Linked DNA regions of Caenorhabditis elegans. The protein of the gene in region 2 interacts with the protein of the main gene of each other region in a pairwise test. Each region holds a gene or a part of one and is shown on either strand. Other genes may lie near its edges.

Evidence for each region.
Region 1: the proteins of gop-2 (region 2) and B0207.6 interact in a two-hybrid assay, tested with the Caenorhabditis elegans proteins (one large-scale study listed by BioGRID).

Annotation. Positions count from the first base shown.
Region 1 is NC_003279.8:5,921,501-5,938,481, reverse strand, and holds B0207.6 (GPN-loop GTPase 2), read left to right. Parts: upstream 1-1,524; 5' UTR 1,525-1,537; coding exon 1,538-1,696; intron 1,697-1,813; coding exon 1,814-1,921; intron 1,922-2,078; coding exon 2,079-2,277; intron 2,278-2,604; coding exon 2,605-2,945; 3' UTR 2,946-3,112; downstream 3,113-16,981. Other genes in the region: air-2 (Aurora/IPL1-related protein kinase 2), read right to left, coding at 1-265, 329-696, 773-881, 931-998; B0207.5 (SUEL-type lectin domain-containing protein), read right to left, coding at 3,134-3,259, 3,830-3,909, 4,161-4,295, 4,341-7,830, 7,945-8,196, 8,416-8,781, 8,838-9,104, 9,164-9,628 and 13 more.
Region 2 is NC_003281.10:5,244,103-5,261,012, reverse strand, and holds gop-2 (GPN-loop GTPase 1), read right to left. Parts: upstream 1,991-16,910; 5' UTR 1,981-1,990; coding exon 1,837-1,980; intron 1,790-1,836; coding exon 1,454-1,789; intron 1,292-1,453; coding exon 1,015-1,291; intron 972-1,014; coding exon 811-971; intron 769-810; coding exon 619-768; 3' UTR 501-618; downstream 1-500. Other genes in the region: SAM50-like protein gop-3, read right to left, coding at 1-97, 180-305; gop-1 (Protein CLEC16A homolog), read right to left, coding at 2,374-2,658, 2,825-2,905, 2,955-3,205, 3,261-3,390, 3,438-3,560, 3,608-3,733, 3,793-4,008, 4,096-4,155 and 8 more; Protein sumv-1, read left to right, coding at 6,827-6,967, 7,024-7,199, 7,244-7,336, 7,392-7,540, 7,590-7,669, 7,717-7,888, 7,936-8,034, 8,084-8,175 and 11 more. UniProt on the Caenorhabditis elegans protein: Small GTPase required for proper nuclear import of RNA polymerase II (RNAPII). May act at an RNAP assembly step prior to nuclear import.

The DNA.
Region 1 (16,981 bases), on a different chromosome or scaffold from region 2:
CGTACAGCGAGCCTTGGGATCAACGACAAGCAATCTTCCAATCAAATCTCGTGCACCCTTCTTCACAGAATCAGGGTAAGTAAACCGTGCCGCTTTGATTGCCGCATATGTCTTGGACTGATCTTCGTGCTCGAATGGGGGTTTTCCAACGAGAAACTCATAGCAGAGAACGCCGATTGCCCATAAGTCAACTGCGTCACTGTGATCGGCTCCATTCACCATTTCAGGAGGGAGATAGTCCATTGTTCCGCACATTGTTTGGCGCCTGAAAACATGACAGTGAATTTTTGGAAACATCTAGATTTCCTAAATTTGAGGATAAACTCACTTATTCGAAGGAGCATGAACACTCCATCCAAAATCTCCAATTTTCAATTCTCCTTGTGATCCGATAAGCAAATTCTCCGGTTTAATGTCGCGATGAATCACATTTTTCCTGTGGCAATATGACAAAGCATCTGCGATCTCATACATATATTTTGCAGCTGTTGGCTCTGAGAATCTCTTGCTCACTGTCAATTGCTTGTACATTTCGCCTCCGGGGGCATATTCCAAAACGAGATAGATCTTCTTCGCATCCCAAAAATATGTGTAGAGCTTGATAATATTCGGGTGATTCAAATGAGATTGAATCTCAATTTCACGCTCCAATTGATGCTCGACGCCTCCTGAGATGAGTTGCGATTTGAATAGAACCTGAAAATATGTATGGGTAAAACGGATGTCAGAAAAATGATAATTCAAATAAATACAAAATAAATCAATATGTTACCTTGATCGCTACATGGAAATGTCCAGTTTTTGTGCGAGCCAGGTAAACACTGCCGAATTTTCCTTTTCCCAGTGGTCTTCCGATCTCGAAATCGTTAATAGTAAATTTTCTGTAAAATCAAGAATAATTTATAAACTTTTAAAACCTTGATTTCTTACCCTCCCTTCTGTGGAGTATTCACAGTTTCCTTCTCTGGAAGGTTGATTACAGGTGGCTTATTCTCCATGTCGGAACTGAAAAGTTTTTTATGAAGAAATAAAATAGACGGCACGATTAAGGACAAATTAACTAAAAGAAAACATCACGATAAATTTATAAATTGAATTAATTAGAAGTTCAATGGCCCAATTTTTAATTGAATACATTTAGATATTTATGTAGAATAAAAATAGGACTAATTCTGCTTTGATTTCAAAAAAAAGTGAGAAATCAACACATTACCTGAGTAAATATGTTTACAAAAAACGAGTTTTGATTGCAAATAATTCTAAAGAAACTAAAAATTGTCAGCTGGATAGTAAGGAGAAATGCAAGCCGTTTAAATAAAAAATTAACGCGGCAAAATGCAATGGTCCGCAATATGTCGTCATGTACGGTGTAAATGCGTACTTGGCCCTGTGCCAGGCCCGTTTATCCTGCTTTTTTGTTTGTTTTAAATTAAATTAAATTGTATTTATATATTTTTGTTCTTCTTAAATGTTTTCCTATCAAAACAATCCGTAGAAAATTAAGATTCAACTAGAAAATTTCAGTACTCATTGGACTATGTACGGAGTTCTTGTAATTGGAGCTCCTGGAGCTGGAAAATCTACATTTTGTGCAGGATTAACGGACATTTTCTCACAAACCAAACGACCATTTCTCACTATCAATCTTGATCCTGCTAATGACACAATGGCATACGCACCTGATGTAAATATCACTGTAAGTATTTTATTCCAATGAATATAGGACAATAATTATGAAACGTGGTACAGATCATCTATCAATGTTATTTTAATACTTAAGGTCATATTTTTCATTTAAAATACTAAAGTTTAGGAAATGATCACTGTGAATGATGTAATGGATCGACTTGGACTTGGACCAAATGGAGCTCTCAAATACTGTATTGAAACACTTGGAGCTAATTGTAATTGGCTCCTCCAGGTAATTTTTTTGGCAGAAAAAGTTAATTCTCAAAAGCTAAAAATTGTTTTCACAACAATTGAGCTAAAATCTGGAATTCTCTAAATTTGAATCGAGAAAATCGGAAATCATTTTTAACCTCTTTGTAGTTTTAATATTCAATTAAATCTTTTTTCAGAAAATCGAAGCGAATCACAAGAAATATCTGATAATTGATTGTCCCGGACAGTTGGAACTATACAAAAGCGAAGGCGAACTATGGAAAGTTATCCGCTTTTTGGAAAAATCCGGTGTTAGACTATGTGCCTTACATCTTGCCGATTCACTTTACTGCAGTGACCCATCGAAATTCATTTCTGTTGCATTATCCACATTAGGTAAGAGTTCATTAAGATTAAAAAAAAATTGAAATACTTTTCTTGTCTCTCGACCCGAAATTTCCAAATATAATTCAGCTGATTTCCTCCAAAAAATGAAAATTTATTTTTGTTCTGTACAATTTTGAAACTCCATGGGCCTTTATGTATTTCTGGCTAAGAAATGCAATATCTTTCTGGCACATAAAACTTTCATTTAATCTGAAACCTATTTTTGTTATTTATTTGATTTTAGATGGAAAAAATTGAAATTCGGAACCACTTTAAATTTTGTGTGGCTGAAAGGAACAAATTAAAATTATATTCATTAAAAAGCTTCAATTTCAGCGACAATGGTAACAATGGAGATGCCACAAGTAAACTGTCTGTCAAAAGCAGATCTTTTCTCTGAAGACGGGACCTATGATCTCGAGTTTTTCTCCCATTTACCTGATGTCAATCGACTTTTGGATCTTTTGAATGAAGTTCCCGGATTGGAAAAATATCGAAAATTGAATGAAGCAATTTGTGGAGTTATTAGCGATTTCGACCTCGTTTCATTTGTACCACTTGCCGTTGAAAATAAGGAATCAATGATGAAAGTTATTCAAATGGTTGATGCTGCAAATGGATTCTCATTAACTGAACAAGGAGATATTCGAGAACTTATTCTTAATTCAAAAGCCTAGATTTTCTACCAAATCGTTTTGTTTGCTTTTTGCAAATCTTGTTGTTTTTCCTGCTTTCTCTCAAAGTAATTTTTTACCCAATACCGGTTATCCTTGCGCATGTTCTCACTTGTTAAGATTTTCATTTCGAAAAGTCATCAAGAAACCAATAAATATTCATTATCATCAATTAATCATACATCACAATCTTATTCTGGGACGAGCTCTTCACTTTTTCCACTCGACCTCACATTTCTATCTTTATGATATTTTTCCATTTTTCTCGAAGATCTTGCTCTTCTACTTGATCGCGTTTTTTCTCTGCGACCGTCGTTCTGAAAATGTTTTGATTGAAATTGAGAATTAAACTTTTTAGAGAAATTGGAAATTACAATCATTTTCTAAATTTTGCGATCTCAAAACGATCGAAAGTTTCAAATTGAAAATTTATAAAAGAATTTGCGACTTTAAGGAGTATGGTAGTTTCCACTCTCCACCGAATTCCAAAATTTCCTTTATTACGCGGACACGAAAATTTGCTATTTATTGGGCCAAAAATGTGGAACTCGGTGTCTCCACGACGAATTTTTGTTAAGCCTGATAAGTTGTACGCCTTTAAAGAGTACTGTAATTTCATATTTTGTTGCTGAATCGATTTTTCATTGTTCTTCTATAAAAACACACTTAAAAAACTAATAATAAAAATAAAAGAAAATGAGAGGGACTATGAAAAATTGATGAAAATTCGGTAGCAACGAAAGTTGGAAATTACAGTAATCTTCAAATGCGCACATATTTTGTACAGTTCTGCTTAAAGGTACCATTTTTCACACACTCTAATTGAAAAAAATACTTGGCACGTTTCGAGACCGGGTATATCAATCATAAACAAGACTTTAACTCACCCGATCACTATTATCATTTCCATCATTAGATGACCTCCTTCGTGGTTTTATTATGCTTCCAAGATTCATATTTCTGCCATCTGTAATTCGAAAATTTAATACTAGGAAAATTGAATTTATATGTCTAGGGATGAGGATTTCCGTCATTTCTTATGCGCATGGGTCTCGGGTAACAAATTACTGTCGATATACCGACCGAAGGCTTTTAAATAAGAAGTTGATGGACACCAATTCCAGTAATCCTTTTTCTGCCTGGCGAGTCCCATGTGGGTAAGATATGGTGAAAACTTTCATCTTTAGATATCAACGTAATATTAAAAAAAAAACTAACCATTTCTGCCATCTCGCCTTTTATTAGTTCCTTTATTCCTCGTTCTCGTCTCTTCATCACTTCCTGATCTTTCTCTTGAATCTCCATGATCTTTGTTGTTGTCATCTGAAGATTTGTCAACTGAGAAATGACCTCCTTTAAAAGAACCTCTCTGGCTAATAACGAGTTTTGTGTTCTTACCAGGAGGTGGAACTCCGTCGTTTTCTGGAGTTGAGTTGTGTTTGGGCATCATCATGTTATCACCATCCGATGTTTCTGTTTTCATCAGCTTCCGCTTTCCATCCACCATTTTATAGAATCGTTTTGTCTTTTTAGTTCCCATCAGTTTTTGACCATCATCTTCCATAGGACCACCTGGCACTTTTTCTTCCTTCACGAGTTTCCGATTTCCATCCTTATCAATAGTATATGATCTTCTAGTTTTCTTGGACCAAATCATTTTTCCATCTCCTTCGCCATCGGATGAAAGATCTCCTGGTACATTTTCCTCTTTTATCAGTTCTTTCTCTCCATTTGCATCATATCTATAAGTCTTCTTCCGCTTCATCATTTTCACAACGTGTGTTCCATCTTGAGAATCATCTCCACTTTCATCATCTCCCATCTTCTGAAGCTCCTGTTTTCCATCCCGACCGAGTTTGTATATTCTTTTTGTTTTCTCGATTCTCTCCCCATCCAACGGTTCCGGACTATAACTGCTCTTTTTTGTTCCAAGTTGACCCATTGGGATTTCTTCTTCTCTCAAAAGCTCGCGTTTTCCATCAGCTCCCACTTTATAGAACCTCTTCCTTTTTTTCATCATAATTTCTTCAGAACCTTCACCATCCTGATCATGAGACATCGAACCTTCTCCAGTTAAATAAGCCTTCTTTTTTGACATTTTAATTATTTCTGAACCATCATTGGACGGATCATTGGCAATAACTCCCATCTTCTTCTTTTTTGTCAAAAGTTTGAACTCTTCATCTTCACTTTCCTCTGGCATGCTTTGTGGTTTTTCGATTTGATATTCCTTTCTTTTCATAACTTTCACAGACTCTCCATTCTCATCTTCATCGGGTATTTCTGAACCTTTTCGGTACAGCCTATTGTTTTTTCCAATCACCAGCTTCCCATCTCGATCATGACTAGGTAACGCTTGATCATCCGAGCTCTTTTCAATTTTTTCACCATTTGGACCTATTCGATATGTTCTCTTCTTTGTGATCTTAATCTGCTCCCCATTTTCACCTTGTCCAGGAACATCTCCTTCAGTTTTTATCAGCACTCGTTTTCCATCAACAATTTTATAAAACTTCTTCCTCTTGAATAGTTTAATCTGTTCATCTTGATCTTCTCCTGGTTCATCTTTTGAGATTTTTCTCGATCGACGCGATTCGTCCTCGTCCTCGTAAATTTTTTCACCGTTCTGTCCAATTCTGTAGAACTTTTTCTTCGTTATTTTCACAGATTCTCCATCTTCATCTTGCTCGGGAATATCTTCCTCTGTCCGTATCAATACTCTCTTTCCATTCACAATTCGATAAAAGTTCTTCTTCTTGAAAAGTTGAACATCCTCGTCTTGATCTTTTCCTGGATGATCGGATGTTTTTCTCCTGAATTGTGGCTCATCTTCATTTCCGTCATAAGGTATCTTTTGCCCATTTGGTCCAATTTTAAACGATTTCTTTTTTGTGATCTTAACGATTTCGCCGTTTCCATCATTTTCTCCGGTTGGCTTATCACGTGCTCCAAGATATAATTGTTTTCTTTTCAATAGCTTAATCTCCTCGTTTTCATCTTCATCGTCTGGAGTGTCTCTCTTCTCGCCATATTTGAAAATTTTTTTCTTGGTGATAGCAACTGATTCGCCTTGATCATCGGGCAATCGAGGAGTCGGATCGGATATCGATCCTCCAGAAACCTTTTTGATAACAGTTGTTTCTCCATTTGGTTGTTCTCTATCAGGTCTACTTCCTTTTCTTTCGAACTCTTCACTTTCTTCTCCGAACCTTGGTTTTCTTCTTCCCAATTCTTCACTTTCCTCTTCATATTCTGGCTTTCTTCTCCTTCGGAACGTATCTTCTCGATTTTTCCATTTCTTTTGATTTTTCTCTTTTCTGTGATTCTCTTCCTCATGCGATCCTCCAATTTTATAGAATTCAGAGTTTCTTTCAGTAATTGAAGGTTTGGCACTCTTTCTTCCTGGCTTGTGAGCCCATCTGAAAATCTTTGGAGCTCTTCCTCTTACAGCAACTCTTCTATTCACCAGCTCCTCTCCTTCTTCCTCATCATCAGGCCGATCGTTTCTCTCAAAGTATTGTCTCTTTCGATTTCTAACAATGATCTTCCCATCATCTTCAACATTTTCTTCGTTATCAAAGTTCTCCTTTTCTTCATTTCCAAACTTCATCACCTTCAGTTTTTTGACAACTCTGACCTCATGTTCTTCTTCTGGCTCTTCCTCTTGCATTCTCCGTACTATTACCAACTTCTTTCTGTGACTCTTCAGTCGAACTCCCTTGAAATCATCTTCTTCTCCTTCAACAATTTTCCGAGTTACTTCTCGAATGTCGGGCTCTTCTCCAGAATCCGTGAAGCTTGGTCTCTTTCTGATTTTTCTAGGATTTCCACGGACCTTCACAAATCCTTCAAATTCAATGTAACTTTTTGGCTTATTCTCTCGAACATCCACAAATTCATCATCTTCATCATCAGGTCTTGAGTATTTTCGAAGTGGACGCCTAGACTTTTCAACTTTTACCAGAGTAATCACTTCTGGGTATTCTTCTTCATCATAATAGTATTCTGGCTCAGCAGGGGTAGTTGTAGTTGTTGTTGTCGATTTCATTTTACGAACTTTCCGAGGAACCATCACAGTTTTACGGGTGATCTTAAAGTCAGGACCGCCAATTTCTTGAACAACAGCTTCTTCCCCAGGGATTCCGGTTCCAAAGTGTTTTCGAATTCTGACTTCCCTCAATGTTGCGTTTGGTAATCTTCTGTTTTTTACAAGCTTCACTATTTCAACAGGTTCCTCGTCTGGAACTGTCTTCGTTCGATATGAATGAGGATGCTTCTTAGTGACAGATAACAGAACAACTTCTTCTTTTGGACCAATCCTCTTTCTCGGTCTTCTCATAATTTCTTCAACGTCTTCTGAATCATCAACATCTGGCTCTGGCTCTCTTGTCTTCATAATCATTTTTCTCACTTCAATCACACCACCTTCATCTTCTTCATCTGGTATATTAGATGGACGACGTCTTGTTGGAATTCTATGAATAACTTTCTTCACAAGTATAACTCCTCCTTCAGATTCTGAATCATCACCAGGTGATCCTTTGATAACTCTCTTCCGAATGCCTGTAGTAATTCTCACTCCAAAATCTTCATTTCCCTCCAAAAGTCCTTCATCGTCGTCTGGCCGAAGATGCTCATGAATCTCTAGCTTCTCTACAAGGACCCTCTCCCCACGAGGTGTCGGTGGAATAGTTGGGTTTATAATGATCTTCTTCTCCAGTTTGATAGTTTTTGGTTCTTGCAGACATTCTTTCACCCATTTAGCGTAATCATCTTCATTAAGATCATCCGTATTTATTCCCGAACATTTGAGAGATTGACGTCGTGGTGGAGGAGGTTGTGTGGATGCTGTTTCTCGAGTACGGCACCGTTTCAGATATTCTTCAATCTGGAACAAAAACACTCATTACTTTAAGATAAAAACAAGTGTCTCAAGTTTCTAATTTCTACCAAACATCTTATGATTGAGTCATCTTGCTTTTCTTCATCAGAATAAACTTGCCTCTGTATAAGAAAGTTTTGACATGTCAACATTATGGCAATCAATTGATGTCTTCCTTTCAACAGGCTTCGGAGTCGAAGGATGTCCCAAGCATCGAACTTCATATTCAGAATATTCATCATCTGACATTCCATCAACATCTCGATTGTAACATCCATCTTTTACTGGCACATTCTCCTTGTTAATCACCAATTTCTTAACGAGAACCACAGATGCATCAGGTTTTTGACATTCTCGCTGGTATTTTGAGTACTGAAATTTTCTAGAATAATTTTTTGAAGCCCAAAACAGGAATTGATACTTTAAAAGTGTATTCACATGCTGTTGGTAGTTTGGAAATGAAAAATGAAAAACTTCTTGGATACAGAATTTTTAGATAAATCCAAATACAATCAAGGTTCAAGCAGTCAAAGCTGGGTGCAAGACTAATAGAGGAAAAAGGAAAGTGATGTCAATTATTTGAATGCTCACCTCATCTCTTGATAAATTAGTTGTATCAACAGTACTGCAATCATATCGGAAAAGTGGATGAGTTAAACATTTTTTCTCGAATTCGGAATATTCTTCATCAGTCATCCTATCAACATCTTGATCGTAACAACTGAATTTTTCTTTACCAGTTCTTATCTTCACTTTCTTTGTCAGAATTATATTCTCTCCAGGACGATATCTATCGGTTGTAACTTTCACGTTACAATGTTTTTTGAAATCTGAATATTCCTCTTCACTCATCATACTTTCATCTACAATTGAACAATCAATTCGTTTTCGAATTTTAGTGGGCGGAGTGTCTGACGGAGTTGTTTCTTTGACGCATCGAGATTTGTATTTAGCGTACTGAAAATGTCGAGAATAATTAAAAATTGACAGAGATATGAAATTCAATTTCTAACCTCTATTCTGCTCAACTCCTCGACCTTTACGTCGTCACATGAATCAATAACTTTTGTAACTTTAGTTGTAGTCTTTTTACATTTCTTTCTATATTCCTCATATTCTTGTGCATTCATTCGTTCAACTTTTGCATCTTTGCATTCGAATTCTGGTCTTTGTCTACATTCTTTTTGGAATCTTGAGTACTCCTTGTCAGATAATGTATCTACATCAACAGTTTCACAGTTGAACGGCTTCTTGCTACATGCTTTTCGAAACTTTTTGAACTGAAAATAGATAATTAAATAATTCAGTTTCGTGAAGACTATCAAGCAAAAAAACTCACTTCCTCATCACTCATGTTGCTAACATCCAAATTACAATTGAATTGGAATGTTTTTCGGAATCCAAGACATTTTTCTTTGAACTTTTCATATTCTGCGTCCGGCATTTTGTTGATATCTTGACCAGAGCACCAATCAAATTCATCTGGGGAATCTCCAGGCTTAGTCGGTGGTTCAACAATCTTTATAATTTTAGTGAGTTCAACATGTGGTTTTCTAGAGCATTCCTGTCTGAATTGTTGGTATTCTTCTTTTGTCATATCATCCGTGTTTTTATTCTGACAGCCATCTCCTACTTCGACGGTTTTCGTAATTTTGACTCCTGTGGGATTATTCGGGCATCTTCGGATATATGATCTATATTCTTTGTCCGTTAACTCATCAATATTGACTTTGGAACAATTTTCATCTGGAGGATTAGTTGATTTCCTTGGATTCCGCAGACACTTCTTTTTGTATTCAGCATACTAAAAACATTAATTATAATTATAAGATACGTTTCATGAATCATATTTTCTAGATCTTGTAGTATGATCACATTACAATCAACTTTTAATTATCACAAAACCAACAAAAAATTCAGTTCAGAGTGAACATTTCAGTTTGAAAACAAAGTATGCCGAAAAAACTCTAGGAGATTCAAATTTTTAAGAATACACCAGATCAATGTTTTGACTGTTTTGAACAAAATTTTTCAGTTGCTCCAGTTGTTCATATGGAAATAAATTTAGTAATTTCACAATTCATGACACTTTTTCTTTGAAGATTATTTATTTCCCAAAGGACTGCTACACAAGAAAACCCAAATACCTCATCAGCCGTCAGTTCTTCAACTTTGACGTCTCTGCAGTTTTCAGAAGGTGAAGATCCTGGTGGTCTTTCACGTGGATTTTCTGGACGTTTTGGTGTACCACAACGTTTTTTGTAGGCGACAAACTGAAAAAGATAATCCTGGATTATATGAAAAATTGGAACCGGCCTACTTCCTCTGCATCCATCTCTTCAACATTGATATCTTTACACTTCATTTCTTCTGTTTCAGACGGTGGCGGATCTTCTTGAAATGTGCACTTCTCGTTGTACTTTTCCAATTCTTCACCCGACAATTTCGTTTCATCAATATCAGCACAATCTGGTGAAGTGGTCTTTCTTGTTGGTCTACATTTTCTTCGATACTCGTTGTACTCTGTGTCGCTCAGTTTTGCGATGTTAATGTTTGAACAGTCTTCGATAACTGGTCGTCTCTTTCCACATCTCTTTTTGTATGCTCTATACTCCTCTTCTGATAACTTGTTGGTATCCACGTCATCACAATCATGTCTTTCAGGTTGAGATTCACACCTTCTCTTGTACTCTTTATATTCCGATTTGGAAAGTTTTGATGTATTAATCGAAGAACAGTAATCGGAATTTCCAGGTTTCTCCACGCGTATTGTTTTTTCAATTGTCACAGGTGGTCTTCCAGTCTCCCCGCCTGAAGGTGTACTTCCATCTTTTGGTGGTTTATTGATTACTACCGTCTTTTTGATAGTAACGGATTCTTCCGGAACCTTAGTATTTCCACATCTTCTCTTGAAGTCAGCATACTGAAAATATAAAAATAACCTTTAAACGTGAAGTGGATACTACATGACAGAACATCGGATTAGAATGCTCTAACTTTTTTTTTAGATTTTTGAAAATTTCAGTTAGTTTTGGTAAGTCCCAAATTTTGTAAATGTTGTACTGGAGTAATTGTGAACAAATACCAGCAGCGCTACCCCACCTATTAACTGAATTAATTTCACTCGCTTACCTCTTTTTCTGTAAGATCTTTGACACGAATGTTAGAACAGTCATCTTCAGGTGTATATGTAGACATGCATCTCTTCTTATATAATCTGTATTCTTCATCTGACAATTTATTGACATCAACTTCATCACAGTCAGGTTTTGGAGTTTTTCTCTCTTTTCCACATCTCTTCTTGTATGCTCTATACTCCTCTTCTGACATTTTGTTAGTGTCCACGTCATCACAGTCGGGTCTTGCACATTTTCTCTTATACTCCTTGTATTCCGCTAAGGTAAGTTTTGCTACGTTTACTGATGAACAGTTATCTGGATTACGCGGCTCTTCTGGTCCTGGAGGATTATTCTCAATTAGTTCCTTCTTAATCACAACTGTGGGCTCTTCAGGATTTGATTCTCGATTTCCTGGAGTTTCTGGTGCACTGAGGCAGCGCTTTTTGAAAGCAACATACTGAAAAACTATTGTGAGAGGTTCTATGAGCCGGATAGAAAATATGAACTAGTCTTTAATTTTTTCAAAATCTTAAGTTTTTTTTTTCAAAAATTAGATTTAACTACTAGCTTAACATCCTCGAAAATGGGTAGTTCTTTATATTGAAAAAAAGTGCTCACTAAAAAATTGTTATTTATAAAATTTTTTAGAAATTTTTATGGCAATGCATTAAACTAACTTCCTCGGCTGTCAATTCTTCTATTTTGACAGTATAACAGTCCTCTCTATTTGGTTTTTCCGGTCTTTTAGGTGTTCCACAATTATTTTTGTAGTCCCGATATTCTTCTCCTGAAAGTTTTGTGACGTCCACACTATCACAATCAGGCTTTGGAGTGTGTCTCTCTTTTCCACATTTCTTCTTGTACATTCTGTATTCCTCATTTGACAACTTATTAGTGTCAACGTCATCACAATCTAGTTTTGGAGTTTTTCTTTCAAGAACAGATTCACATTTTTTCTTATACTCTTTGTATTCTGACTCGGAAAGTTCTGATGGATTGACTGAAGCGCAGTAATCTGATTTTTCAGGATCATCTGGTCCGGGTGTATTTTTCACAATGACTGTCTTCTCGACATTTGGTTCATTTCCATCTTTGGGCGGTTTATTGATTACTACTGTTTTAGTAATTGAAACAGATTCTCCCGGATCCTTTTCGTCAGTTGATCCGCATCTCTTCTTGAAGTCGGAGTACTAAAAAATTAGTTTCTTTTTTTATTTGAGAAATGCGAATTAAAACAGGAGTTGCGCTATTGGGAATATTCTATAAATACTATAAGTTTTGCCAAAGTGCAAAACATACGAAAACTTCTTGAACCCCTACCATGTTCAAAAACACGAAGTCTAATTTAAATATTATCTTTAAATATTATTATACCTCTCCTTCAAAAGAACCACATTTTTTGCCGAGCTTCTTGTAATCAACTGAAAACTATAATCTTGCTCAAACCGCATTTTATCCTTTTTTGCTAAGTTTTAGTTTGTGAAAAATTTGGTATAGATTTGAAATGAGTGAACGCTTAAGTGACCTGATTTTACTCTTTGATCTAGTATTAACAGAGTACACTAACAAAGTTTTAATAGTTAAAAAATTTAATAAAAGTGTGATATTTCCCTTACCTCGTCTTCTGTAAGATCCTTGACATTAACATTGGAACAATTATCTTTTGGAGTTTTCTTCACTTGACATCTCTTCTTGTACATTCTGTATTCCTCATCTGACAAATTGTTGGTGTCGACGTCGTCACAATCTGGTTTTGGAGTTTTCCTCTCTTTTCCACACTTTTTCTTGTATTCCTCATATTCCGAGTCGGAGAGTTTTGAAGGGTTGATTGAACCACAGTCATCTGGATTCTTGGGACCGGTAGGATTTATGATGACTGTTTTTTCAATAGTAACTGACGGTTTTTGCCTGTCCCCATTTGGAGGAGCATTGCCATCTTCAGACGTTGATCCACATTTCTTTTTGTAGATTTTATATTCTTCATCAGAAAGTTTACTAGTATCCTTTATGCTACACTCTGGAGTCTTTCTTCTTGGCTTCTTTTCACAATTTCTTAGATATTCATTATACTGTTCTACAGATAATGAATCAACATTTACGTCATCACATACTTCACTTCGAATCTTCTTTCCACACTTTTTCTTGTATTCCTTGTATTCTTTATCACTGAGTTTATCCACATTCACCGTTGAGCAATTCATTGGTGCTCCACCACCTGGTTCTTGTCTTTCTTTAGAAGGAATCACACTGCTCAGACAATTTTTCTTGTATTCTTCATATTCGGAATTTGATAAAACCTCGACGTCAATGTTTTTGCAATTTGGAAGAGTTGTGTCGACCGGATTTCCACAAAGAGTAATGTGTTTCAAGAACTGAAAAGAAAAAATTAAAAATCTAAAGTAGAGACTACATTATGGCTGTTTTAAATTTTAGAAAAAGGTCAATTTGGCAAATATCTAAAGTTTTGCCAATTTTTCAGTGTAGCAGCGGCCAGAATGAATTCACATAAATCAACAAAAAACGCAAAATAAAAATAATAGCAAGCATCAGCTATAAGGGCAAGTTGGCAAAATTTCAGATTATCGATAAACTTACCATTTTTCTAAAACTTCTGAGCGCCATACAATTTAAAACTTCGCTGTTCCCCTGATAAATATTTCTAACGTACCTCTTTCCTACTCATTTCCACTAAATCCTTCGAGTCACAATCAGTGTCACTTGCGTTACTTTCCTTTGGACGGCGTCTTCCACATTTTTTCAGATACTTCTTGTACTCTTCCCTGCTCAATTCATTTAAAACAATATCCTTGCAACTCTTATGAGTATAGTCAATTCTGCATCGACGTTTATATTGAAGGTACTGTAAAATTTCAAAATGAGTGTTCTAGGTTTCATCAGGAATTGAAATAAAAAACGAACTTCTTGTTCACTGAGCTCATTCACATTCACATTATCACAGTTGTCTGAAACTTTTCCGCATTTCAATTCATAATTTTTGAATTCTTCCAATGTCATATTTTCAGTGTCAGCTTCTTCACATTTGAATTCTGTTGATGGACGTAGGCGTGGTTTGCATTTTAATCGATATTCATTGTACACTTTCCTAACAAGACGACGAGTTTTGAGCATTGAGCAAGCATTTATTGGTTCCAAGCATTTTTCAGCAAAATCTCCATACTAAAATGTAAAGAGAAATTAATTGTGTGAAAGAAACATTTGAAAAATCGGAATTTGTACCCCAAAACGTACCATTCTCTCTCCCAACTTCTCCACCACAATATCCTTGCAATCTTTATCCAATTCGTTAGTGTCTCCTTCACATCTTTTCTCATAAACTTTTTGTTGTTTCTTTGTCAATACATTTTTTCGTTCTATTCCACAGAACAGTCCACATTTGTTGACATATTCTTGAAGCTTATGATCACTGAGCTTATCGACACGGATTTCATCGCAATCATCTCCTTCGAAATTAACTTTGCAGCGTTTTTTGTAGTCGTTGTACTACAAATTTCTATATGAGACGTTTTTTTTTTTCATAGGATAAATAGTGCAGTTGCGTGAATAGGGATTTCGCTATAGAATGCTTAATGTAGTTTGAAATTAGAAAATCAAAAAAGAAAATGAGAAAATCGAGACAGATCGCAAACTCTAACATAAAAAACGTTAATTTTCATGTTTGAATTTCCTCCATAAAAAGCTCTCCAGGACCAATCATCAATATATATAGAGTGTATAGGGTTCAACGAAAATCGCTAATTGGTTTCAAAGGAATTTCAAGTAAAGTGGTCTGTCAAAAATGCAAAATCCTTGCATCCATATAAAACAATTTGAGCAATTTCAAACTATTTCGATTATATTAAAAAGCGATTTCCCATTCAAGTTGTTCCACCACCATTAAATATATAAACTCTTGCACCAACCTCATCTTCACTCAATTGATCTACATTTCCAACAGAATCACAGTTGAATTCTCTTCTCACACAATCACTTCTAAACTTTTCATAATCCTCATCACTGTGATCCTTCATATTCACATTTCTGCAGTCTTGTGTGTCTTTCAAACAAACTTTCTCGAATCTTCTATATTGTTTTTGGGTCAGTTTTCTAGCATCAGCCGTTGAACAGTTGACCACCTTGTCGAGACAATAGCGTTTGTATTTTTTGTACTGAAACTATGGAAATCGTTCCATAAAATTAAAAAAATTACTAGAAAGTGTTACCTCTTTTTTGCTCAATTCATCCGGTTTAATATAGGAACAATCCAATTTAGTCCAGATACACTTCCTCTCATATTCCTTGTATTTTTCTATTGCGACCTCATCAACTTTCATATCTCTACAATCTGGAGTACTTCGAACACATTCTTTTTGATATTTCTTCATCAGTTTTTCACTGAGATTTTTTGGCTCAACAGTTTCACAATCAAAGTTTTCAACAAGGCACTCTTCTGAGAATTTCGCATACTCATCATAGCTCATATCATTCGTAATCCGATCTTTACAGTCAGGGCTTGGACTTAGACATTTTTCCTCGAATATTAAGTACAGTTTTCTTGAAAGTGTTCTAGGATCCGTGTTCGGACAATCAAAATCGTTTCCAGGTCGATTGAGACATTCTCGTTGATATACTTTGTACTGCAAACTAGTTTTTAAAGTGAGTTCACGGAAGTGTTGAAACCCCTAAAAATTTGGAGACTTACCTCTTCATCAGTCAATTCATCAACATTGCCCATGGAACTACAATCGATTGATTTTAGACATTCACTTCTAAACTTTTCGTGCTCCTTGTCATTCTGATCCTTCACATTAACATTTCTGCAGTCTTTTGTGTCTTTCAAACAAACTTTCTCGAATCGTCGATATTGTTTTTGAGTCAATTCTCTAGGATCCACTGTTGAGCAGTTGATCTTCTTGTTAAGGCAATTTCTTTCGTATTTTGCATACTAAAATTTATAATTAAATTAGTGTTTGAAAAACGTTTTTCATTGTAAAACATTATACAGCTTATCTTAAAAATTAATCAAATATAATAAATGGACTACTCAAAACAGAAAATGCTTCAAAAGTGCTTTCTATGCCAAAGCGAGCTCCGAGATAAATCGACAAAAATCACGATGGCTTTTGCGTGATCCTCCGTTTTAAAGCTATGGAATGGGATTTTAAATAAATTGAATTCTTTATCTGTACTAGAATAATGTTCTCTTAGGCATATCAGCCTTCCCACGGGATAGGTCGAAACCTTCTACTATCTGATTGTACTACTGTAATGTAGACACTTCTACCTACGTGATTTTTCTTACCTCTTCTCCAGTCAAGTCTTTTGGATTGATTTTTGCGCAATCTTCTGCAGTTCTGCATTCTTCTTTATATCTTTGGTATTCTGTGTCACTCAATTCATCTGGACTCACACTATGACAATCCATTGGTGGTATTTCAGTACATTGCCGTTTATACTCAGCATACTGAAACACAAAGTAATATCAGCTTTCCATATGAGGTGTTCTCATAAAAGGATATTTACAAACTAACATTAAATAATTGTGTTCAATCTTATTAAACTTACGTCTTTATCATTCAGTTTCTCAGCATTCGCAGTTTTACAGAAGTTGGGAGGATACACATGCGGTGGAGATTGTGGAGATGGATGAAGACATTCTTTTTCGTAGACAGATCGCTGAAAGGTTCATGTAAACATCTGTAGGAAGCTAAAAGCAATTCAAACTGCTCGGATTTTCGGGGAGTACTAGTGTAGAGAAGCTATAGCCATGAAAGCAACTACCTACTGTGAACATGTTGTAAAAAACTGGAAGAAAACGTTCGATTCCTTACTTGAAACTACGGAATGTGAATTTTTGAGATACCGTACCCGCGCTTCTTTCGCTATATTTTTCTCTAGTTGTTGAGTTTTTTCGTTGTAAGAACTAAATATTTTTGAAAAAATAATTGGAATCGTGACAGATATTGAGAGAAACTTGTCAAATAAAGGGTGTAAAGAATTGGAGTTTTCCGCAAACACGTAATATTTTGCCAAACAAATTT
Region 2 (16,910 bases):
CATTATCCATTAATCCAACTTCTTGAAGATGACGAGCCGCCAGATGAGAGTTATGAACAAGTTCATCTAGATTTTTACTTCTGTATAATTCGGAAACCTGAAAAAACATGTAAGTTGAATTTAATTCACAATTTATATTTTCAATTGAATTGTGCAACATTTTGAAATTTGGGTAGTACCTCCTTAACCAAAGCATCGTTTTTTGTGATGCGAACTCCATGAAACTGTACAGCTTCGACGATTGAAGGCACTCCGGATGCCTTTGCACGGATGGTCTGTGCCTTGTGGAACGTCTTTTCAGACATTAACCACTAGGTTTCTGGAAAAAAAAAGGTTTTAAATGTTGGCTTTTCAAGCGAAGAACCTCATTTTTGGAAAAGATCTTCAAAATTTCCTATATTGAAAAAATGAGGAACCTTTTTAGAACGTTTTTTTGAAAAAAAATTATTAATATATGAAAGGTTAAGGTTTAAAACCATTTCCAGATCAAAAATTATATTGATTTTTGCAACAAGTTTATGCAAAAATGAGTAAAATGTAAAACAACGCAACAAAATGAGAACAATAAGAAGTAAACAGGGATCAAAATAGAATAAAAATTCAAAAACAAAAAGAAAATCAGGATCTTTCGAGTTCAGCATCCTCCTCATTCTCTTCATCGACTCCGCCCAAATGAATTCTATCGATTTTTGAATTCAACTCCGACTCCAGAAATTCGTCGGGATTGGCGACTTTGTTCAGGTCGTGAACAGCTTTTCCTTTCAGAGTCTGAAAATTTGAAGATAATCAGAATTAAATTACTACAATTACCTCTTCATCTCTTTTCTTTCTCTCCTCCTCATCCAATAGTTTTTTCTCAGCCAACACTTTTTCATACATTGGAACATATTCTTTTTTGTATGCTTCAACACTTTCATCGATTGCTGTCATTACATCTTCGAATCCTTCTCCAGTTGCAGAACTGACGCAAACTGAAATTTATTATTTAAAAAAGGTTTTATTTCGAATAAAAACCTGTTTTCAGTCCGCAATAGAATTCATCAAGAACGAGACTCAATGAACGACTCAAATCATTCATATAACTGCTTCTGGCATCCTCTAAAGCTTCATCAAATCTTTCGAAATCTTGCATCCATTTGAGTGCAAATGTTGGTTTGACAATATCAGCTTTGTTGAAAACGACAATGAATGGAAGTTTGGTACGGTAGAGAATGGAACATGCGTAGAGCATATTGGACATGAATGTAGTTGGATTTGTGGCACGAGCGGAATCCACAATGTACATTACCACCTGAAAAGTCGAAATTAATAAATATGGAGTAGAATCGACTTTTCATTTTGCTTTTAATGATAGAAAATAGACCAAATATAACTGTAAAAAATGTTTAAAAGTCAAAAATTTATTAGAATCTTTTTTCATTTCAAGCAGATTTCATAAATCAAAATCCCTTACCGTGGGATGGCTACTTGCCAATGAATCAGTGATAATAGATCCACTAGCACTCCAAGTGAATGCTTCAATTTGTCCAGGAGTATCAAGAAGACAAACTGAGAAATCAGAAGATCTCTTATTAATCAACTCAATTACTTTATCAAAACGAGTACACATCAGGTTAAGACATGTCATAATTGCTCCATTTGGTCCCATTCCGAATTCTTTCATAACTTCCTTGTATTTCACAGTATCTCGAATGTCAACATTCACTGGATAAGGTACTTTGCTAACTGCCGGATCCAGATTAATCACATATGGAGGTGTTTTACGAGCATGTAGGAATGCTGTGAGACGCTGAAAATAGTAATGTTTGAAAACTCTCAAAATTGAATGAAAGTTACCTGAACAAATGTCGTTTTTCCAGAACCAGCCATTCCAAGAACCAAAATCGATGGTTTTTGATTCACATTTGGTCCAGTTTGAGGTGATGGCTCTTCTGAAGCTTCGGCCGAAGAAGATGGAAGATTTTCAGCTTTTTCAGCCATTTTTGAGAATCTGAATAAATAATCGGTTTTTCTGTTTGAATAATGATTAAAAAGTAGATAGATTCGGCATTTGAACCATTTTGAAAAAATATACACAATCTCAAATGCAGTTTTAAAAATAAAGTAGATTTACAGAAAAAAAAAAGAAATTAAAATAAACAACCGGTAATTGGGAAAAAAATATGGCTCGAATAGGTGAGCATAAAAGTAATTGTTTTTGTTTCAAAAAAAAAAGAGAACTATGGGCAAGAGAAATATCACATGTTCACTGGTTTGTTTTTTCGGAGATTTGTGATTTTAACTAGACGATGTGTAAATACAGTACTACAAAGAATAGGAATACTTAAATACAATTTACAGCATAAAATGATGAAACTGAAGAGATATTGATCCCTAGGATCTTCTTTCCGAAGAACTACTCGGTTGAGTTGGATCATCTGGTATCATTCCTGCATTTCTAGATGCTGATCTAAGATTTGCAGAATAATGTCCGGGACGTCCTTGGCTTGACGATGATGATGTGGAAACAGTTTTTCGTACACTTCCCGGTGCGCATCCTTTCACAATTCTGAATGGATTCATTCGTGGTGATGACGTCATTGTCGCTGGATCGATACGTGGAACTCCAAGAGCTGAACATATCGCCTGAAGTTTCAGACCACGTGCTGTTTGGCGACCCTATAAAGAGAAATAAAATGTATATTCTACCTGAAGGGATAGTTAAATTTCGCTTTCGTTTGGTTTTCGTTTGGTTTTAGCGGCAAATTCAAACGTTTTCAATTAATTTCGCCGATTTCGTCCATTTACAATAACTTTCCGTCTTTTTGGTTATTTTTTCCGTTACCTTGGTGAGCCGTTGCTTTGCTGCCATACACCGAATGTGATCATCGAATATGAACTTTGCAGTTAAAACCGGATGTCTTTTCTGAAACAGAAGTAATTTTTTGATTTTTTTTTCCCGTTAGTATTCTTACCTTAATTCTCGAGGGTTGCCCTTCCACCACAACATGCAAAACTTTCGAATCCGTAGAATCTCCATTAATTGTTGTATCTTGAAGAAGTCCTACGAATCGAACAATTGCCCATCCGGCTTTTCGAGAATCCGGTTCGACAAGAATTAATTGAAGTCTATCAGTGACAAGGAATCGAGCAAGACGATCACCAGGTTTTCCAAGAGAACATAGTTGTTGAGGAACCACAGTGCAGGATAGAAGATCCGAATTATCTGAAAATTGTTAATTTGAGTAGAAATATGGTGTTTTCTATGCAGATGAACTCACGTAAATTAATACAATCACCGATGGCAACTGGTTCCTGATCAGAATTCAACACTCTCACAGGTAATTCTGTGTCTCCTTCACCGGTCAAATCTCGTTCCAATTTTCGAATATGTAGGTAGAATACGATTTGCTGCAAATATATATATAATTAATTTTCAAATTTAAAAAGTTTCCTACAGTTCTTATTCGTTCTTCAAATCCACTGGGCAATCGCTTATGAAGTAGCAGATTCGAAAGAGGAGTTGCAGCTGGAGGAAGAAGCATTTCGTGACCGATTATATCGAAATTCACGTGATTCACCTGAATAAAAAGGATGAATTAAATTATTTTCGGACCTCTTGGCTTACTTCAAATTCTGCATATTCATCCTCAAACCACTCCAAAAACAGATTCTCTCCATTAACATATTGTCCAATTGATGATAAAAGTTTTAGACGAACTTCGAAGCATAATTTCGTTAAACTGGTATGTACCTGAACAATTTATGAAATTTAGATTCTGATTTTGCTCAATTTTGAATTTGTAATCTTACTTTTTCATCATCAACAGTCATTAAAATTTGCCGAATTACAAGACATGCAAGTTCCAATGTAATTGGTCGAATTCGATTGTCATCTGTTCCAACTGCTTTGATAATCGATGAAAGTGCATCAAAAAGTCGACCATCACATCCAGAAGTCGACGGAGGTGGAAGCTCATCAACAGCAGATTGAAATCGAGAACGAGATTCTGACTCCACGTTTTTAGGCTGAAATTGCTGAGTTTTAGGTCAAGGAAAACTGGGGAAAACTATATTTTTTTTTTAATAATTAATACATGCACGTTTTCTACTCACTTCTGGATCACTTATTGCTGAATTTTCAGTATCAACCAATACATCATCCACCAGATCTTCCTGTAATTTTCGACAGGATTTTTGAGCACTTTGAAGAAAATTTTCAAATTTAAAAATATTAAAGTTTGTGTAACAATCAATGTTGATTTATTTACTTACCAACGTTTGTTCTTCAGGAACATCATGAAAAATCTCATCTTCCTCGGTCGCTTCTACTCCAATTTCAGTGATAGCTCTCGTTCGCTTTGATATGGAAGACGTAGATGCTATTCGGAGACGAGCAAGATTCTGTTGAGCTAATGAAGTTGTCGTTGATTCTTTGAGCACTGGGAAGTTGGCAGCAGATAGAAGTTCTCCAACATCGGCTGAAAAATGGATTTTTTTTGAAAATTTATTTTGAAAAGAGGAATATTTTATAGAGTATCGTCATGTTATTAATGTTTCGGCAAAATTTGGTTCAATTGTTTTTTAAAAAACAATGTTACTTAAAACTTTACTTGTTGAGCTTCACAAATGCAAATCTTAGATGGATTTTGTAAAAACGAAGATTTATTAAACCTTTTTTTTTAAATATTCCTATTAAAAAGCCGATGAGAACGGTAAAAAAGCATTCAACGCTAAAATAAAAACAGCTCTTTGAGCAGAAAACAAGATAAATCAAACAAAGCGCGGCGAGACCCACACAACAAGCTACGCATGTGTCCCTTTAAATTTACATTACTTCGGCAATTTCTGCGCGCCCTCTTTTTATTCATTTTTTTTAAATAGAAAATTATCTGGATGACGATATTTACTGTATGATATCAAAAAAATTTGAAAACTGTTCATGCAAAACTAAAAAAATGAAGAAAACGATCACAGATGAACAGGAACTTTACAACATTGAAAACTTACTGTCTGAAGAGGAGTTATTGGAAATGGAAATTTTAATTTAACAAATCAATTTTTTAAAACTCACCATTATTCTGAAACATTGAATAAATCAGCATTAATCCATAGAATGCCTTCGAATCGTCTGCTTGACTGGAATCAAATGCTTCCAGTAGAAAATCGAAAAATACGCTGAAAATACTATATTCAAAGCAAAAATTTTAAAATTTCAGCTCTTACTGGTCTTCATTCACATATTCTCCGGTTGGTGATGATAATGTAATCGGTTCTAAGCAATATTTCTCATTATGACGTATCCAATGGGTCGTCAAAGTATTCTGAGTGTCAAATAGGAAAGATGATAAAAATGTATATATTGTTTCATGGTGACGAACTATCTGAAAAATAAATAAATTAGAAAAATGTAATTTTAAATGTTAAAACTCACCAATAAAAATTCAGAGAAAAAAAATAACGCAGAAATCGGAGTGAGTAGAAGTGAATGATTATCTCTTCTTGGTGATATACTTGAAAGTAATAGAGGGCTTAAGTATCGTGTTGTTACTGAAAATTTAACATTAAAAACTTGATTTTCCAGCAGTAAAACTGACCTAAAATTGATAAACTTTCGGCGACAGCTTCCACATCCAATAGTTCACCAATATAATGAATCAAATCAATTAAATCATCCACTTTTCCTCGTAATCTCTCTCGATTAGCTAACACATTCTCAGCAGATCGTACAAATGTGTCCATTTCAAGTGAGAGACCAACTAGAGAATCTATTAACTCCGATAGATATTCCTGTAATATTTATTGCTTAAATACACCTTTTCAAAATAATTTTCTACTAACTTTTGTATGCTTGATAGCGAAAATAATCATTGAATCATCTTGAACTCTCACAATATTTAAAAGAATATTTCTAACAGCAATTCGAACCATTGATTCATTCCAATTATAAAGCTTCAAAACTTCTACCAACAATGGAAATTCTTCAGTCGTTTCATTGAAGAAGAAGTGGATTGTAGCTGGATTCAGTTTAAATGAAAGAGTTTTCAGAAAACTAATGTAGTAAGCCATGATCTCATCATTTTGTAAATCGAATTTGTGGGAAATAATCGAGTTTACATGATTGTTACTTAGAAGGAAATCTGAAAACTGGCAATTTTAAGCGAAAATCCATATAAAAAACTTACAAAGTGAAGTTTCATGTCGAATATTTTCGAATAAAATGTTCAAAGTCTGCAGTAATTGTACATTTAGTGGTGTGTTTCCTTGTTCCATAATTTTCAAGAAATAAAGAAGCATTTGCCGCTCAAGGAAGAAACTGAAATTCAACATCAGATTTGAAAAAAAACATTGGAAAAAAACTCACTCAAAAACCGAAGCATCATTCTGATCGCCCCAAATGAGAATTTCTGCGATAGCTCGTAATGCTTCTACTAATATTTTCTTATTGTTTTCCGTAACTTTCTCATTTTTTGTGAGCACTCCTTGTAAATATTTGAGGTATTCCAAAGAATGCGGATTTTTCGGCTTCCATAGTGACCCAGAAGAACCAAGCTTGCGGAACATTATCGATTTTGTTCCAGGTTTATTGGTGCATTCTGAATATTTAAATATTTATTCAAAGTTTAAAAAGAAAGATTTAGCTTGAAAATTAAATTAAAAGAGAAGATAAAAACTGCGCACAAGGGTGCGCCGAAAAAAAGTTTTACTTCTCAAACGATGCTCCGAAATAACGTTTTCGCGTGTTGTTTATTACTTCAAATTTCAGTTGTTTATTTTTCAGAAAATTGTTTTAATTTGTTTTATCTCAACTTTTTGACTCAATTTTCCATTTTTATTTTTAAGCAGCATGAAACAAACAACTCGTCCTCCTGCTCAATATATAGTTGCACCTGGAACACGATTCCGTCTTGTTGCCAATGAATACGACAAAAATAAGTATGGACAATGTAATTATGCTTCGTATCGAACGCTTGTTCGGTGTAAGCAGGTGAGAAAAAATACGAAAATTTGATAGTAAGCTTTTTTTCAAATTTAAAATTTTAGATACGATCAAAAGAAGAACTTGCGAAACATGGCGGCCGTTGTGAAGAGCACGTCGAATTTTCAAAAACGTTAGAAAATAATCATAAGAAAGAAGTGATGCGGTGCCATGCGGAAAATGATTCAAAGATGCAAAGACGTCGTTTTGATCCGTGGATTGCATCAAATGAGTATATTTCGTAAGTAAAGTTTTTTTTTTGAAATTGAAAATAACAATTTCCAGAGACGATGACGACTACCTCCAAGCTGCTCAAACAGTTCCTCAGCGTCTTCCAGATGTGGCAAATGATGATATATTGGATAATAATTCGTTAAGGTATTCTTATTAATTATTTTTCTTGGGAATTAGAAAAATAAATTCGAAATTTCAGATACGCTGAATACTATACTGACAAAGATATATTGAATATCAAGATGGATTTAGTACAAAAGGATATTGACGATTTAATTGAATTTAAAGAATTGGTCACAAGTCAAGCACAAAAAGAGCATGAATTGTTAGGAAATGATGAAGAAGAAGGTAATTCAATTTAATAGGCATTTTCGATGAAATTTATTGCGTTTTTCAGATTATCCAACAGATATGGCCCAGCGAAGAATTTTCAAAGCATCCACAAAATACTCAAGGAATGACTATCTGACATTGACGGTAATGAATTCTGAAAATGTTTCATTATTCTATTGATATTTTTTTAGACAATTGATCCAGTATTCCATCAATGTTGTGTTGGACCAGATATGGATGATTCTTTAGTTATTGTACACACAATGCACTCTATTTTGGATAAAATTGACAATTTTGAACCAATCGACTCTGAAAAGCAATGTAACAAGCCGGCGCTTCATCTTAGCAAATTTTGCTTTGATCGTAAGTTTTAAAAATATTTTTTCGTGGCTTACAAATTCAAAGTCCAGATATTATACTGGATCGTTCTCAAAAAATGTTCGATGTCTGCAATGCATGTGGTCTTACTGCAATTGGAGGAGTTGATCCGAAATGTTCGTTCCATATAAGTGAGTGCCAAATCATTTTGAAAAAATCTGATTTTAAAAAAATTTCCAGAAAGTTCTGCAATAGCTGAAACTACGTCTTGCCCGTGTAATCGGTGTGTCCAACCTGGTGAACATGCTTCCCCGAAAGATGAGAAAAATTCGGTAAATTGTTTTTTTTTCAATTATAGAAAAACATTTTTTAAGTCGTTATTTTTAGATAACCTGCTATTTGAATTCATCCGACGACGACGAGCCTACACTGGGAAACTTGTCAAGAATCGAATCGGTTTGTTTTTCAGACATTTTTGAGTTAAAAGAGAAAAAACCGATCAATTTAGATTTTGATATTCCCAAAATGACCTCAAGCAGCCGATTTTCACTTCTCAAAAATTTCCAAAAAGTTTTGTAGCGAGGTTTTTTTTTCAAAATTTTGAACAAATTCAAATTTTCTGAAATATAAAATTTCACGAGGTTGTCCGTGTCGCAGCAGTTATCAATTTTGGAGAAGGGTTTTTTTGAGCGATTGTGATCATTTTTGCCAAATTTCGGTCTAACTTGTCTAGTTTCAATGATTTTAGGAAACCTATCACCTTTAAGTGTACCTAAATCAACGTATGAACAAGAAATAAACTACCACAAAATGTAACAATAGGTGAAAAGCTTTATTCTATTTGCTGGACCAAAAAAAGTTGGGTTTTTTCTGTTTTCTGCATTTTTTTGCGCTTTTTTTCAAAGGTTTGTGAAATTCGGTTTTTGAGGTGATTTTGAACCTATTTGAGCCGTTTAATATTCTAACATTTAAAAAAGTTACAGATGGTTTCCCCAATGCAACAATTTTCAAATCAATCGAATACATTAACTGCTCCATTACCCCGTCGTTATCAAGGTCCACCGGCTCAAGTACTCCGGCCACCACAAATGGGACCACCTCCAGGAATTAATCAAGTACCATATCAACCAAAAGCTAACAGAACTCCTCCGATGACATCACAGCAGCTCCACGAGCAACAGAAATTAAAAATGCAAGAAGAAGAGATGATGTCTCAAACGTGTGCAAGGTGGGTCTTGATTTTACGATGAATGTACTTTTAGAGAGATAATAGTGATTTCAGAGTTCGACCTATTGATGCAAGTCAGTTTGGTGGAGGAAAGAAGAGTTAGTTTACGATTAAAATTGGAAAATTTCAATTATTTATAATTCCAGAACAACGACTACCACCAAGACGTTCTCCATCATTTGGGACATCTCCAAATTCTTATCAATTCCATCAACAATCACAAAAGAAAATGCCATCGATAATATCGACAGCGTACAATTCGTCACCTGGAAAAATGAATTTTCAAGGATGGAAAAATCAATCTACGAGCTCGGCTACACGGCCTCTTCCACAGGTAATATTATTCAAACAAGCTCCACGTACATTTCAATACGCTCCGCCCCCGAGTCATGGGTCTCGTTAGGTATTTGGCGACAAAACCGAAAAAAAGACGAAAAATGTTGTAATATTGAAACGTGATTCGGAAAAATTTTAATATCTGGATAAAAATTGCACTCTTTTAAAAATGGGAATGACTGTTTTTTTTTGAGAGAAAGGAAAATTTAAAAATTTTTAAGGTTTTCAGTATATCAGAATTTACGTTTTTGGCTCACTTTTATTTTCGAAAAAAACGAAGAATAAATTTTCGGCAAAACATTTAAAAAAAAACCAAAAATCTACAGGCCCTAGTCCCAAATAATAATTTTTTCCAATCTAAAAGTGTCAATTTTATAATTTTCTAGCCTCGTTTCCCAGTTCATGCAGCTCGTTCACAGCAACCGAAGATGATTCCATTAGAACAAACTCAAGATTCAATTGAAGATGATATTGGACCATCACCCATGTTTCAAGGACCAGAACCATCGAGACGCGGTGTTCCATATTATAAAAATGCCTATCGAAGAAGTAAAAAAAAAGTCTAGTTAATAAAATATCTAATCTTGAATTTTCAGCTGAACTTCCATCTCGTCATGCCCAACACTCTCCACTCACTCCATCTACTTCTACATCATCATCTCAGCTATTGGCTCCTCCTAAATCACCACAACCCGGTACATCTTCTCAAACTTTTCGATCTCAAGCATCACGTCTTCCAATAGCACCACATCGTGCTATAGCTGCAGGACTTAATCCAGCCGATGTCGGAACTCGCCCAGCTTATAGGTAATTTTTTCGTGAAATCTAACAATAAACTGAAAACTATCACCGTTAGCTGGAAATTTTTCAAGTTTCTACAATTTCAATTGAAGTTTACATGATTTCAGATCTCAAATGGCTGGCCAAAGACCAGGAATGACGCCGTCAGCGCAACAAGGAAGCCCTCAATTAATTTCTCCGCCAAGACAAGGATCTATGATGCCAGTAGCAATGAATCAGAGCCCTCAAGCTGTTCGGCGACAAACTCCAGTTCCACCTTACCGTCTTATGGGACCCCAAAGAGTTACAACAAGTTATACGGTTGTTCGATCAGGAAGTTCATCGTCTGTAGCTGGTCCATCAAGAAGTTCTGTGGCTTCGGGGTTTGTATTTATAAATTATTCGAAATTCACAAAACCTTCAAAGAATCTGATTTCTTCTGATTTCTGAATTATTTTCAGCTCCCAGCATACTGCATTGGACACAGTTCAGCATGATCCACGTTTGGCAAACATCAATGTACGAACATTTTTGTCAATTGGAAATCGGGATCTTTCAACACTAACTCAAGATGAAATAGATCTCTTGATGGCTGGAAATTCACCGGAAAAGGGAGGCAGAAAGGCCGGTGCTCCCGGTGCAAAAGAATCATCAAAAGCTGCGGGAGGCGCTCAAAAAGGAACTTCTGCAGCTTCAACAAGCGTCCCAGAACCGACGAAAAGTTCAGAATCATCAGTGGATCCGCAATCAGATGTATCATTTTCGAATCCTTCACCAGCTCCAGAAGTTATAGAAAAAGTTGCACCAGCTGCGATGACAATAACTTCCAATAAACGGAAAATCGATGAAACTTTGGCATCTGAATCAACATCTTCGGAGGCTACATTAATACACGATACAACTTCTTCTTCTTCTGCAGAGACAGTGTCTGGAGAGCCTCCAGCAAAGAAATCATCAGATGTTTCAGCACCTGTGCCATCTCCAGAAAAGGAAAAGGAGAAAATAGGTTAGTTATTCTACTTTTCCAAAATCTTTGTAATTTAATAAAGATTGATATTTTAATAATATTCTCAATTCTCAGATCGTCCAAAAACTCCAAAATCATCTACAAAACGGACAACACCAACTCCATCCGGAAGAACACCACGGGCGGCCGCAATTGCAGCGAATCAAGCTATTTCTCATTCAAAACCTAATGTTCCCTCTGCGTCTACATCTTCTTCGGCTGCTTCCACCGATCAAGAGGTAAAATTTGTTTTTATATTGTGAAGTATCATAGGAAAAAAATTATTTTTCAGAATCCGCTAGATTTGCTTGCTGAATTGTCGGTAGCTGCAGCTGCTGAAGAGCAACAACAAGCAATAGGGAGTACGTCGAAAAATGGAGGAAGCACAAAGAAAAGTGAGTGAGAAATTATTTTTTAAACTCATTATAACCAAAGATTAATGTTTAATTTCTCTACTTTTTTCCATTTTCAGCGCAAAGAAAGTCACCTTCTCGTTCATCAATAGGAAAGAAACGAGAAAACAGTGAGGAATATGAGGAGGAACTTTGAAATTTTAATTTTGCTTCAACTTTTCATAATTTTTAATATATTGTTTCACGATTTCGCTATCCTCACCATTATTCTCTTAATGATCTGTTGAATTATCTTATTTTCATATAATTTTCACCTTGTTACCTCCGAAATTATGCATTCTTATTAATGATTTTGTCTCGCCTTACAGTTAATCATAAATAGTTTTATTGTATTCTCCATCTCCCTTCTTATCTAGTAATTCCCCTCATGCAAATCCATTCGACATTTCGGCGCAACCTTCTCCCGCACAAAGAGCTCTTGTGTGTTACGTAACAGGAGGTGTCAATATGAACAGAAGACACCTCAAAGAAAATGATGTGCAGAGTATATCCGGTTACCATTTCTACGGATTATGTTGGCGGCAAAATAAGGGATTAATTAAAGGATGAAGTGTACACTTCCCTTTTTTCGTTTGAAGGATCAAGATGATCCTATCAATTACTAAATAAACAAGAGAACGCCTGGTTAAAGGTGCACGCATTTTTCAGACGTGGTCTTGCAGCGAAAGTTAACATTTATGATTACACTAACTAATTTTTTTGAAAACATTTAATTAAAACGAGACAATTCGTATTAACATTTTTTAGATTTTTAATTTTAGTTTGGCATGTACCTTTAAAGTGATACATGTATGTATGCGGAAATAGGTGCAATATAAATAAAAACCATCCGGATGCATTACAATGGAGTACGTGATACCATCTGCCAGCCACGTGGCATCTGCAAAAATGAATGGTCACCTACTAGTACTACTCAAACTGTTGGGTGGTAAATGAGAAAATAAAGTTATAGAGAATGGAGTATCTGATAATTTCTTTTTTCTGGAACTTTGTGCTCTTAATTTTTTTGAAGAAATCTACCGAAGCTGGCTTAAAATTTCTGTTTTTCTGGGCTAACGATTCCTGTATCTATTGCATAGCAAACCATCTTGGGACATCTTGACACAACGTGTTCAACACAATTTTCTAAGAAACCTATTCGAACCCCACACTCGAAGATTCACTTCCAACTCTTTTGCTCACTTTTTTGTTCGTATAATTTACAATGATCCGTCTGTTCGTTTCCCGCATAATAAAACTGTGTCGGCTTCTCAGAAAATCTCAACGTTTACAACCACCCGACACTTCTTCTTATCCCGCGCCGTCACTAGATCGCCCTTTTTGTAATGCAAATATCACACATTGACCATGCGGGAAGATATTAAGAGGATTGCCCACTGTTTCTTATTGTTTAGAGGATTAACTTGTTGCGATGAGCTTTTTTGGCGGGTGTTATAAATATAGTAGTACTGTAGAGCGAATTTGCATATCAAAACAGTTTTGGAAATCTTTTAAGATGCCAGTTATGCTTTTAGGAGTTTGGGTTTATTATCCAGTTTGGGAAGGCCGCGGTTTTAGCTTGAAATACGGTACCAGGCCTCGGAGTGGCCAAAAAGTTTCAGCCGAAAAGGGGCCTTCAAGATCTATCGTAGTTCCCCATGTCGCAATTTTCAGAGAATCGCAAAAAATTGCGAAAAAAAAGACAGAAAGTATGAAGCTACAGTACTCCTCAAAGGAAGCTTTAAGAGGAACTTTTCAGCTACCGTACCCAGAAATTTTTTTAATATTAAAAGGAACCCAGTTTTAAATTTATCAAAACCAACTCAAATACAAAGAGAAATTTGCAAGGTGGTACAGTAATTGAAAAGTGGACATATTTTGAAATATATAGCGTATACGCATATTCGAACAAAATCCATAATGGCATAATCATACGGTTGGCGAGAAGTATGTTTTTAAACATGTTTTTGCTTTAAAAATTTTTTCCCTCAACACTTCCCTAACAGAAAAATAAAAATATTATTGTAAATCCACTAATCCCATTCCATATTGTCGCCTCTTGATTAACAAAATACAAACACTCGAAAGACTGGGGATGGGGTGAAAGCTTCCCGCAGAGAGAAAGAGCACTAGGTGTCTTCTCCTTTTTCGGGAGAGCCGGCATATGTCTTTTGATGACAAACAAAATGAGTGCCAATCAGATTAGGAAGCGATAGAAATTGAATAGAAGAGGAGAAGTCAATCATCATTCCGTCTCCCTAATATCTACAGTAATACCATCTGTTAAGAGCTGCTTGTATTCCATGTACTCTTTTAGTGGTGCATGCACTGTTGCTCAAAACAAAAAGAGAAAGGAGATAGAACTTGGAAGAAATAATTGAGTTTATATCGAAATTTGATATTTTTTAACATAAAAATACCAAATAAATGTGCTCTTTCTTTCCCTACTGGTGTTTTGCATTTAACTAGAGGCTCCTCTTTTGATTGACCCTTTCCAATATGTCATTTTGCATTGAATTGGTAGATAAAGATGAGAAGTTGTAAACAAGTACTAATTGTAACAATAAGAATAATAACAATAGTTATTTACTACTTTCAAGTTTACTAACATGGGATCTCAAAACTTTTGTAGTACCACCAAAAAGTTACAATTATTCAGTTTTCAAATATTATAATTTCTTGAACTCTACCAAAAATATATTTACTTCTCCTCGGGTATTATATTTCAATGATGTTTCTATTGTTTGTATTTAAATTTAAATTCAAAAAGTTATTTCTGTGTATTTCGCAAAAAATTGAAGAAAACCCGGAATTTGGCAATTTACCAAATTTTAACTGAAATTGTAAATTTTGAAAGTCTGGAAAGTATTAGAATATTTCATACATACAATCATTTTGGCACTACCTAAACAGTTTTATAACAATTTAAAATCGTAGGTGACTCCATCAATTTTGTTCAAAAGCTTTTCCTTCGACAAGACCATACATAATTATGGCCGCCCTGTGCGACTTTGAAAAAGAAACAAAAATTTGCATATTTGATGCTTTGATTTTGTTCCGCGTCTGCATTCAAGGTGATTGATTTTTATGGAAACACAGAGCAGATGGTCACACTTTTTGAAAAAATATTCGATTGGTGTGAAATAAGTTTGATTTCCGTTATTGCAAGATGACGAGAATTGATAAACTACGAGATTTTGCGCTTTTTTCGTCTAAAAATACTTTACATTTTAAAGACAAAAGAGGTATGGACTTTTAAAGTATACTGTAAAAACATTTTTGAAAACTGAACGCAATGAGGAGTTGGGGAATACAGTACTCCATAAAGGCACACACTTCCATTAAAAATAAATCATGTCAAGACCGGAAATCGTATTTCGAGCATCTTACAATTTTAATTCGAGATGGTTTTCTTTTCAATTGCTATGTTTTCCCCAGAATTTTCTCTATTTTTTGGTTTGTTTTCTTTTTGTTTTTCCATTATCTCCTATTGGGTCGAACATAAATAAATCTTCATCTCGCTTGGTTCCATCCCTCCGTGTATTTCACCCATTTTCTCTCCACTATGCTTCAACTGTCAAATCGTTTTGATTTCCTTCCCGTCGTCACCCACCATTTTTCGTTGAGCACGGTGGTTGTGGTGGCGGCTCTTTTTTGGTCACAGCTCGAATGAGTGATGAGCATTAGCAAGGTTTCGGTATGAAGAAAAGGGGAAAATGGAAACAGACGGAACGTGATTAAGACTTAGGTTACGGTATTTAGAGAATAGGGTGATCAACCGGAAAATTATGAATGGTTTTTTTAGGTTAGGCCAGAGCAAAGAATAACAAACAAATAAAATAAACTAGAGAGAGCATAAACTTCCAAATAAAAATACAATTAAAGAAAGACCGTTAAACCTGCATAAGTTTCTCCATTTTATTAAACCAAGACTCTCATGAGAATTCAAAAAATAAACCATCTCCACTTGACACGTTGACAACTAGTCTCCATCTGCTTGTTAATTCCTTAAATCAGAACAAAAAAGAAACAATAAAGATTACATAACTTCCTGTTACCCATTCTCTTGTTACAATTTCCCTTCTCAAATGGGCTAATCCTCAACAAGTACTCTCACTCACTTGAGCTCATCTCATGCTCATTTAACGGTCAACAGCTATGACACGTGGCTCTAGTAATACTTGAAAGTTTTCGCGCATACTTGTAGTGATACACTGTATCCATCCGGTCTGTATTTATTCAGAAGTCATGAAGAGGGCGATGAACACCTGCTGGGAAGAGACAAATATAGGATATCTGTCAATAAAAAAGATATATGGTAACAGGTACATGTGTATTTAATGATTATTACATGCGCGATATATGTGAATGTTTGCGCATTTGGTTGCAATAATATTTGGTTTATTTGACATATTATCACAAAATTGGGAAAAGTTCAGGAGAGGAAACACTTCACAAAAAATTATTCGGAATACCCTTATTTGAAAGGTTTTGCTTGGACAATTCGTCAAAAATTAAACTATGGCAATGTGCAAAAAAAATAATTTGGAATTTTTCCAAAACTATTGGTAGATCTAGAAAAAATCCTCTTTAACGATATTCCTTCATTAATTAATTGAAAAGTTTTTAATAAGTTGAAAAATGTTGAAAATATTTTTTACTATATCTTTCTATATACCCAATTATTGTACCAAATCATCACCTAGGCACCAACCATATTGTTATTCATTAATAACCGCACCGCTTGCTCTCTTCCTCCCACCGATCGGTCTTGAAAGATTAATTACAGACTTGCATCATCATACAAATATACCGCCCGTACTCCTGAAAACGTTCAACATACGGTGCCAAATCCGTTTAGAAATGTGTGACAGTGACAAGGAATTGGTCTAATTAGGTGTGATGCAATGCGGTAACCAAACTGTCAAAGGATGGAATTCAACTAGGGGATTTATGAGTCAAGAGGTGTGAAATTTTGGTATTTGGTTTCTAGCAGAACAAAAGGTATATGAACTCAAATGAGGAAATGTGATAATCAAATTGTGAAATTATTGGTTTTAGAATATCCATGAAACTTAATTTTTCAGTGTCAAAAGAAATAATCTCGAGCCTTTTCAAATTGCTCGAAAAGTGGATTTTTGGACGCTTTCGATAATTTTCAGAGATTCTAGATTCCACGGGGAAAAATCTGCACAAGTACTTGCCTATCTTCCTTCCATTCCGGGCCACTATTTAAGTGTTCTTTCTGTGTTTTTTCCTAGTCTCTTCAAAAGATGAATGACCAACTGTTGGTGGCAGCTGGCTAGATAGCACATGAGTATAGGA